3 linked regions of the Kluyveromyces lactis genome follow. Each later gene encodes a partner of the first gene's protein in a complex. Links are inferred from orthologs where the notes say so. Each region holds a gene or a part of one and is shown on either strand. Other genes may lie near its edges.

Region 1 (2,482 bases):
TGTCACTCTTAGCACTAGAATCTACCTCACTACAAAATGAATTGCATTTAAGAAACGATACACCTTTGAACAGACCTGATTGGCAATTGGTGATCCATAAAATGGCTAGGAAAATATTAAAAGAAAGAACTGTTAATAACCTTGTAGAATGCCGTTCCATAAATTATGATCTATTAGCCCATTGTATTCCTGCCAAAACCATAGTCCATGAATTAACGACGCAATTGCTTTCAGATGCCCAGTCAGATCCGTTGAAGTTGGCAATTATCGATACTGCATGCACTTTTGATCACCGTCTCAACCTTGGAAACAAAGCAATCTACCATTTAGAAGGGTTCATTGCAAGGACAATGTGTGAAATAGATAAATATACGTAAGTATTAACTTTTGTAGTTTGACAAACAACCAAACTTTACTCATTTGGGACTTTAAATCTTGAATCTTTGATAGCCTATTTACAGATAGTGGGATTAGCTCTCACAAAAGTTATACGTAAAAGAGTCGTTTATATACACACATCGATCTATTTCAACGAGCCCTGAACATTCTATATTCCGGTTGCTGGGACTTCAACTTTGTAATATATTCCTTTGTAGGTTTCTTCTTTAGTTCTTCAAAGTAATTGATCTTTGGATCGTCCTTTGGATCTTTTACACTCTTGATACCTACTCTTACCAGAGAATCTTTCGATATGAATTCGTATAGGCCAGGAAGCTTGGTTGCTGCCTTTCTAAACGCCTCACGTGCTACTTTCTCGTGTAGATTGTCACCTGCCATCTCAAAGATCACTTTACCGGTGGGTACTCTGACCATCCAATGGTCAAATCCACCCTTACCTTTACCCATTCTGGTCTCATTACCCTTGATACAAACAGCAATGTTTGTACACAAACGACGCCATAATTGACCGTTATTCAAAGGTCTAACGTATCTCATAATAGCATTATCGGCTTCCTTCAACTGTAACGCAGTAAGTCTCACACCTTCAGACTTCAATCTTAAACCAAATTGACCAAATTGAAGCGAATTACCCTTAGTAGAGCCACCGGTACGCACTGGCACACGACCCTTTTGCTTCTTAGTCTGGTTCTTGAAACGTGGAGCATATTCATGTGTAAAACGCCTAGCGGTTACTTGCAGACTTTCTAATGGATTTAGTGAGCGAAATCCAGTCTTGAAAACGCTGGAAAACATGGTGATCTAATTTACGATAAAGGAGGCTCACTGATCTGAAATAAGATCCTTGCAATGAGGCGCGAGGGACTGTTTTATGCTGCTTTTCAAATCAATTTCTATGCTCTGGATCTTCTTTTACTTACTCTTAAAGCTTTTCATTATTGAAAAATTTTTGGTGAAGTTGAAGATATCTTGAAATCATGTGACCTTCTACATACATTCAAAAGAAGATACAAAAGTCTCGTTAAACAACACTTGATATACCTGTTCTGGTGATTTCAGGCAGTGAAATATCACTAGTAATATCATTGCTAAGGGATTACCTTTGTTTTGTTGATTGAATTGCCCCAGTTTTACTGTTATTAAGGGTTCTTTAATACCGAAACGATGTCGAATAGGACGATATTGTCAACTTTGAGACCATGTTTAAGGTTGTTTAGCACCTCCAATGTGGCATTACAGACACTTTCTGTGAATGGAAAGACGTACCCAGTATCAGATAAGACGAATGTAACTAGTTCGATTTTGAATTTGACTGATCGCGCTGTTTATTTGAAACCATCACACCCTGTTGGGATCTTAAGAAGTGTTATCGAGGACAAGCTGAACGACCCTCATCACTCATTCGAGATCTATAACGATTTCAAACCTGCGGTTACGGTACATGAGAATTTTGATTCTTTGGGATTCCCAGAAGATCACCCCGGTAGATCGAAATCTGATACCTATTACTTGAACGATTGTCATCTGTTAAGAACGCATACATCTGCCCATGAGTTGGAATGTTTCAAGAATATCAATGGGTTTGTTCCTGGCCATGTGGGTAAGACTGATAAGCCTGGATTTTTAATCTCTGCCGATGTCTATAGAAGAGATGAGATTGACAGGACTCATTATCCGGTGTTCCATCAAATGGAAGGTGGTAGAGTTTGGAAAAGGGAACCGGATAACCAACATTTATTAAAGATTAAAGAAGATCTCGAGAGATTGGAGAAAACTTTGGCAGACGACCCAGTGAAACTTGTCGTGGAAGATAACGTTTCCTTGGAAGGTAATCCAAAGCAGGAATACATGACGATGGAAGAAGTCGATTTATGTTCTCGCCATTTGAAAAGATCTTTGGAGCTTGTTGTATTGGAAGTCTTCAAGAGAAAGTTGGCAAGTATGGGTAACGTGAAGGGAGAAGAGTTGAAGGTTAGATGGATTCAAGCTTATTTCCCATGGACTGCACCATCATGGGAAATTGAAGTGTTCTGGCAAAACAATTGGCTTGAGCTCTGCGGTTGCGGTCTTATCCGTGAAGACG
Region 2 (2,413 bases), on another chromosome or scaffold:
AGTGAAGTTATTTTCTATGAGGTTGTTTAACAATCTCTTATCGAATTGGAACCTTGTGATCAAGTCTTCAAAAGAACCGATGGGCAAAGGAACACTATTCCCTGAAACATTCCCTTGATAAGATTTACGTAACTTTAACGCATCTTGTTTCGTGATAATTTTCCCGGATAACTCAGTCTCGTCATCAGCATGATCTTCGTCTTCTTCTTGATTATCTTCTTGTACTTCGTCTTCACCTTCACCTTTGGTTGACTCAGACTTTACCTTATTCATGATTTTCTTATTACGGAAAAAATCCAACTCCTTAGTCAATTGTTGTTCATCTCTAGCTGGTGTACTTGAGCTGCCAGCTGTCTTACTCTTCTTTTCATTAGCCATGCTAAAGTCTGCAGACTGTGTTCTATTAGAATCACCATTCTTCCTTATGCTAGCTCCACGAGTCAAGACTCTAAAGATATCCATGTTAATTAGCGGTGCTAGTATTGGCCTGTGAGAAGTTACTTAGTAATGAGAATAAATTCGATAGTAAACCACTGTGAGTGATATAATCAATCTCTTACTACTCTCTCATCTCATCTCATCTCATCTCATCGCCTACATCTAATTGCAGTTTTTTCAATTAAAATTGATCTTACTGAAGCGTTTCTTTTCACAAAACTTAGGGTACAATAAGTGTAAAAATCGATATAAAAGTACTTCTCAAGGCATAAAGATGCAGCAAAGCTTACTTTAAGATACAGCTGGTATTAAGCCCTCATAATACCAGCCCATAATGACCATATTCCCTTGATAACAGTACCTAATGCCTTGATATTGCATGTATTCCCATCATACAAGATAGCACTTAGACACAGCGATGACCTCGTTTGGAGTGATCTGAAAAATTTTGAAAAATTTCAAAATTTGGATCGCTGCCTCGAGTCGAAAAACTACAAAGAAACAGTTTGAATCGTAGTTAAAAGGACTAAACTGTTAGAATTAAGATTCAATAATTCTAATATTTGTGTCCTGTGTAATTACAATCTGTTGATATTCGGTCGAGGAAGATTGAATTGTGAAAATACCAGACAGAAACCATTCAGACAGTATTTTTTTACTTCTGGAATAATGTCCTTAACCAAAATTGGTCTTAACTTAAGCACAAAATTCGGCGTGCGTAATGGTTCTTATCTACACGTTGGGACTAGGGTACGTGGTTTGAAAAGAGACCCAGTTGAGTCTTTGAAGAATCCACACGGTTTGCACTATGATTCTCTTGTCAAGGATGGCCATGTATCTACTGTTAAGCAAGGTTTGAATTTGGAAAAATATGGTATTGACTTGCCAGACGACATCATTACACAATGTTTGACTCACAAGTCGTTTGCCCAAGGTATTAAACCATACAATCAGAAATTGTCTATTATCGGTGGTCATTTTGTGAAATATCAAGCTTGTCTTCATTCCTTGGGTCTACCTGTTTCTGAAAGGCAACTATCACAAAGCGTACAGTCTGAACCTGTTATTAACGGACTAAATTTCGGTATGCTTGGGAAGGGAAGTTCTAAAATGTTAATATCCAAACAGAGTACGGCTGAATTTTTGCAAAGGAGAAACCTAGATAAATTAGTGTTTTGGAACAAACGAGACACTCAAAAAAGTCACAAATATAACGGTGAGTATACCGTGCTACAAACTGTGCTAAATTCTGTGGTCGGCAGTGTCTATCTATTGCACGGTCAAGACAAGGCCACCGAATACGTGTTGCATGAACTATTCAGCGACAATAGTGATTCCCTAACGAAGATATCTGAAAGTTTGTTAGCAAACAGGGATACGACCGAGAAGTTATAATATTATGTCTAATTTTACACGACAGGAAAGAAAGAGAAATGGAATACACAATAGACTTCGACATCAATAAAAAGCACTCGAGTGAATGGTCTCCATCGGAGTTGGGAAAGAGCTTTCAAAACTTGTATATATATATTTCGAAACGGAAGTTTCAATCACAGCTCTTGGTCAATGTGGTGTTTTAATCTACTCTTTCATCCCTGCTCAATTTCAACGTTTTATTATAATGAATTTACCAAAAGCATGAAAAGCATAACCTTTTAACGACACTCCATCGTCACACTTCAATTAAAAATGAACCTCGAAAGAAACGCGCGCACTGTATATATCTCATGTATCTCTAGAAATATAGACGTACATAAATTTACAACTAAATCTATCATTAATTAAATGTTAACATACAAAATAAAAACAGATTAAGAAAAGTACATAATACAATACATGTATATAAATACATATATAACTTCATAGAAGGGATGTTTTTTGCTGGTAATTTACTTGGAAAGCTTAGCATTTAAATACTCAATGTTGGTCTTAAGACTAGCTTCTTCCACAGTCTTTACCAATTCTTTGGTACACT
Region 3 (2,085 bases), on another chromosome or scaffold:
GTGTTTTGTATAATATCGTACCGCGAAGCATTGCAAGAGCGTGGGAACCCCAGCATTTGCTATGGAAGGGGAAGCTTATAGTAGACGAGCTTTTGCATTTGGATGGGTCCAATCAGTCGACGATGATGCAACCGTCGCTGTACAGGTTTCGATTCGTTTCGGATAAAGAGGACGGAGTTGATAAAGAGGATATAAACAGCGACGAGAGGTTGTTCTGTGAGACGCAGGTGATATCGAATCTGAAGGAGCTGCATACGGTATTGCAGCGGAGGGAGAAATGGTATCAGATAGCAATGTTGTGCGAGGGACAGCATAGGCATCAGATTGCATTGGAACTACAAATAAAAGATGCGTATCAGATGCAGTTATTCGAAGATATAATCCTGAGAATCCGAGATGAGTACGAAATTTTCCAAGAGATGTACGATGGGTATTAGTGGTACTAATGTATCATTTTTTCCTAACGATAATGACCCCAGCTGTAACTTATTGAGATAGACACTAATTTTTGCACGTCTTCCATTGTATTATATTACATGCATATATATAGATGTTATAAGCCATTTAATAGAGTTGATGACTAACGATTGAAACATAAGGTCGATGGTTATCTTATTACTATTTACAGATATACAGTATGTTGTTTTCTTTTACCTTTTCTCATGCTCTGTACCAGAGTTCCTTTCTCTTTTTTCTTTCGGCTCTGGCCAATGCTCTCTTAGGATGCCATTGGCTCTTTATCGTCTCAAGAACTTGATTCATTTCTGTCTTTCTTTCCTTGGGTGGTTCAGAAACAATAGAGATGAACAACGGAGAACAGTTGAACTTCTTTGCTAAAGCTTTTCTAGAGTTTTTCACCGGGTCCTCCAGTCTTAGTCTTCTAATCTCAGCGATGTCTTCAGGCTTCAAATGGTAGGTCTTCTCACCCTTCTCATGTAACACTGGCGCTACCCTCGATATCTCTGCGTTACCTTGCGTTAGGTCATCTATAATGTCGTGCCTTGGATCAGTGGCCGGTAAGAAAGATTTTGGAATCGTTTCTGAGTTAGTAGAACCATGGATAGAGGATGGAGCTGGATCGTAATATAGACCTGCTGGAATCTTGGCTTTCAAATAACCTTTGTAATTGGAGGCAGATGATTTTGGATTGTAAATGGTAGCTGGTCCAACGATCTTAGGTAACTTACCTGATTTATCAATTATCTTTGAAAGATCCTTGGCCGCACGGGCGCTGGTCGAAAATAGTCTCACCATACTGTAGCGAATATGTCAAATGTAATTTCTACAGCGTAATTGGGGATTATAAGCCTGGTGTAAGGGTCTAAAACTTGTTATTTAAACTATCAATCACCATGTTTCGCACTGCAGACTCTAAATCTTTCAGTTTGATGCTTTCAAATTTTTCAGATAGAAATCCTGATGAGACAGACAGGATTAGTATGGGAAAACAGTTTATTTCGAGAAATATAGGATTATTCTAGTGGATATACCTACCTGAAGATGCTTCTATATAATATCGATTAGTACTATGAATGAGTGTGAGCTGACCTGTTAAAATAGGGCTTATATTGGCGATATTATGCAGCTTTTAGAAGTGCCAATTTGGACTATTCTGTATCTTTTGTCACGTGAAAGCCGGGTAATCCCAACATCAACATCAAATGTCGTTCCTATTCACAACAGGAAGAGCTGAAAGGCTATGAGATGGGACAAGAATAATGGCATAAACAGTCCTTGTGATACTTCATTAGCAGCTCTGTCTCATCAGGTTTTACGCCAGGTGGTAGGTTTACCAAGCAACAGAATTAGATGAATGCAGAACTTCAAGAATGGATTCAACAGAATACGGAATCAAGAGTGACAGAGAAGTTTGTTGAGACTTTAAGGCAGATTGCACGTATTCATAAGGATGTAAACAAGTTCATCGGGGGTGCTAAGGCTTTGGGGAAATTTAAGGGCAAAGATGAGTTTTTGAAGCAACTTTTTGAAAAATTACAGGCACATAAGCAGTCTCCAAAGCCAGAATCAGCGGCTGTTCCAGCAAGAACCATAAGGAAAAAATTTGTGGTTAAACTTCCGTTGGAT

What was found.
Region 2: MRPL16 (region 1) and MRPL15 share a complex: the UniProt entries of both Saccharomyces cerevisiae proteins name them as parts of the mitochondrial large ribosomal subunit. The link is inferred for Kluyveromyces lactis from reciprocal best matches to the Saccharomyces cerevisiae genes MRPL16 and MRPL15.
Region 3: MRPL16 (region 1) and MRPL20 share a complex: the UniProt entries of both Saccharomyces cerevisiae proteins name them as parts of the mitochondrial large ribosomal subunit. The link is inferred for Kluyveromyces lactis from reciprocal best matches to the Saccharomyces cerevisiae genes MRPL16 and MRPL20.

Annotation. Positions count from the first base shown.
Region 1 is NC_006038.1:1,064,703-1,067,184, reverse strand, and holds MRPL16 (mitochondrial 54S ribosomal protein uL16m), read right to left. Parts: upstream 1,195-2,482; coding exon 529-1,194; downstream 1-528. Other genes in the region: RFC5 (replication factor C subunit 5), read left to right, coding at 1-377; MSF1 (phenylalanine--tRNA ligase), read left to right, coding at 1,564-2,482. UniProt on the Saccharomyces cerevisiae protein: Component of the mitochondrial ribosome (mitoribosome), a dedicated translation machinery responsible for the synthesis of mitochondrial genome-encoded proteins, including at least some of the essential transmembrane subunits of the mitochondrial respiratory chain.
Region 2 is NC_006039.1:1,527,990-1,530,402, reverse strand, and holds MRPL15 (mitochondrial 54S ribosomal protein mL57), read left to right. Parts: upstream 1-1,107; coding exon 1,108-1,833; downstream 1,834-2,413. Other genes in the region: RNA-dependent ATPase ROK1, read right to left, coding at 1-462; KLLA0_C17380g (uncharacterized protein), read right to left, coding at 2,328-2,413. UniProt on the Saccharomyces cerevisiae protein: Component of the mitochondrial ribosome (mitoribosome), a dedicated translation machinery responsible for the synthesis of mitochondrial genome-encoded proteins, including at least some of the essential transmembrane subunits of the mitochondrial respiratory chain.
Region 3 is NC_006037.1:691,775-693,859, reverse strand, and holds MRPL20 (mitochondrial 54S ribosomal protein mL58), read right to left. Parts: upstream 1,255-2,085; coding exon 661-1,254; downstream 1-660. Other genes in the region: KLLA0_A07777g (uncharacterized protein), read left to right, coding at 1-437; DEAH-box RNA helicase PRP16, read left to right, coding at 1,810-2,085. UniProt on the Saccharomyces cerevisiae protein: Component of the mitochondrial ribosome (mitoribosome), a dedicated translation machinery responsible for the synthesis of mitochondrial genome-encoded proteins, including at least some of the essential transmembrane subunits of the mitochondrial respiratory chain.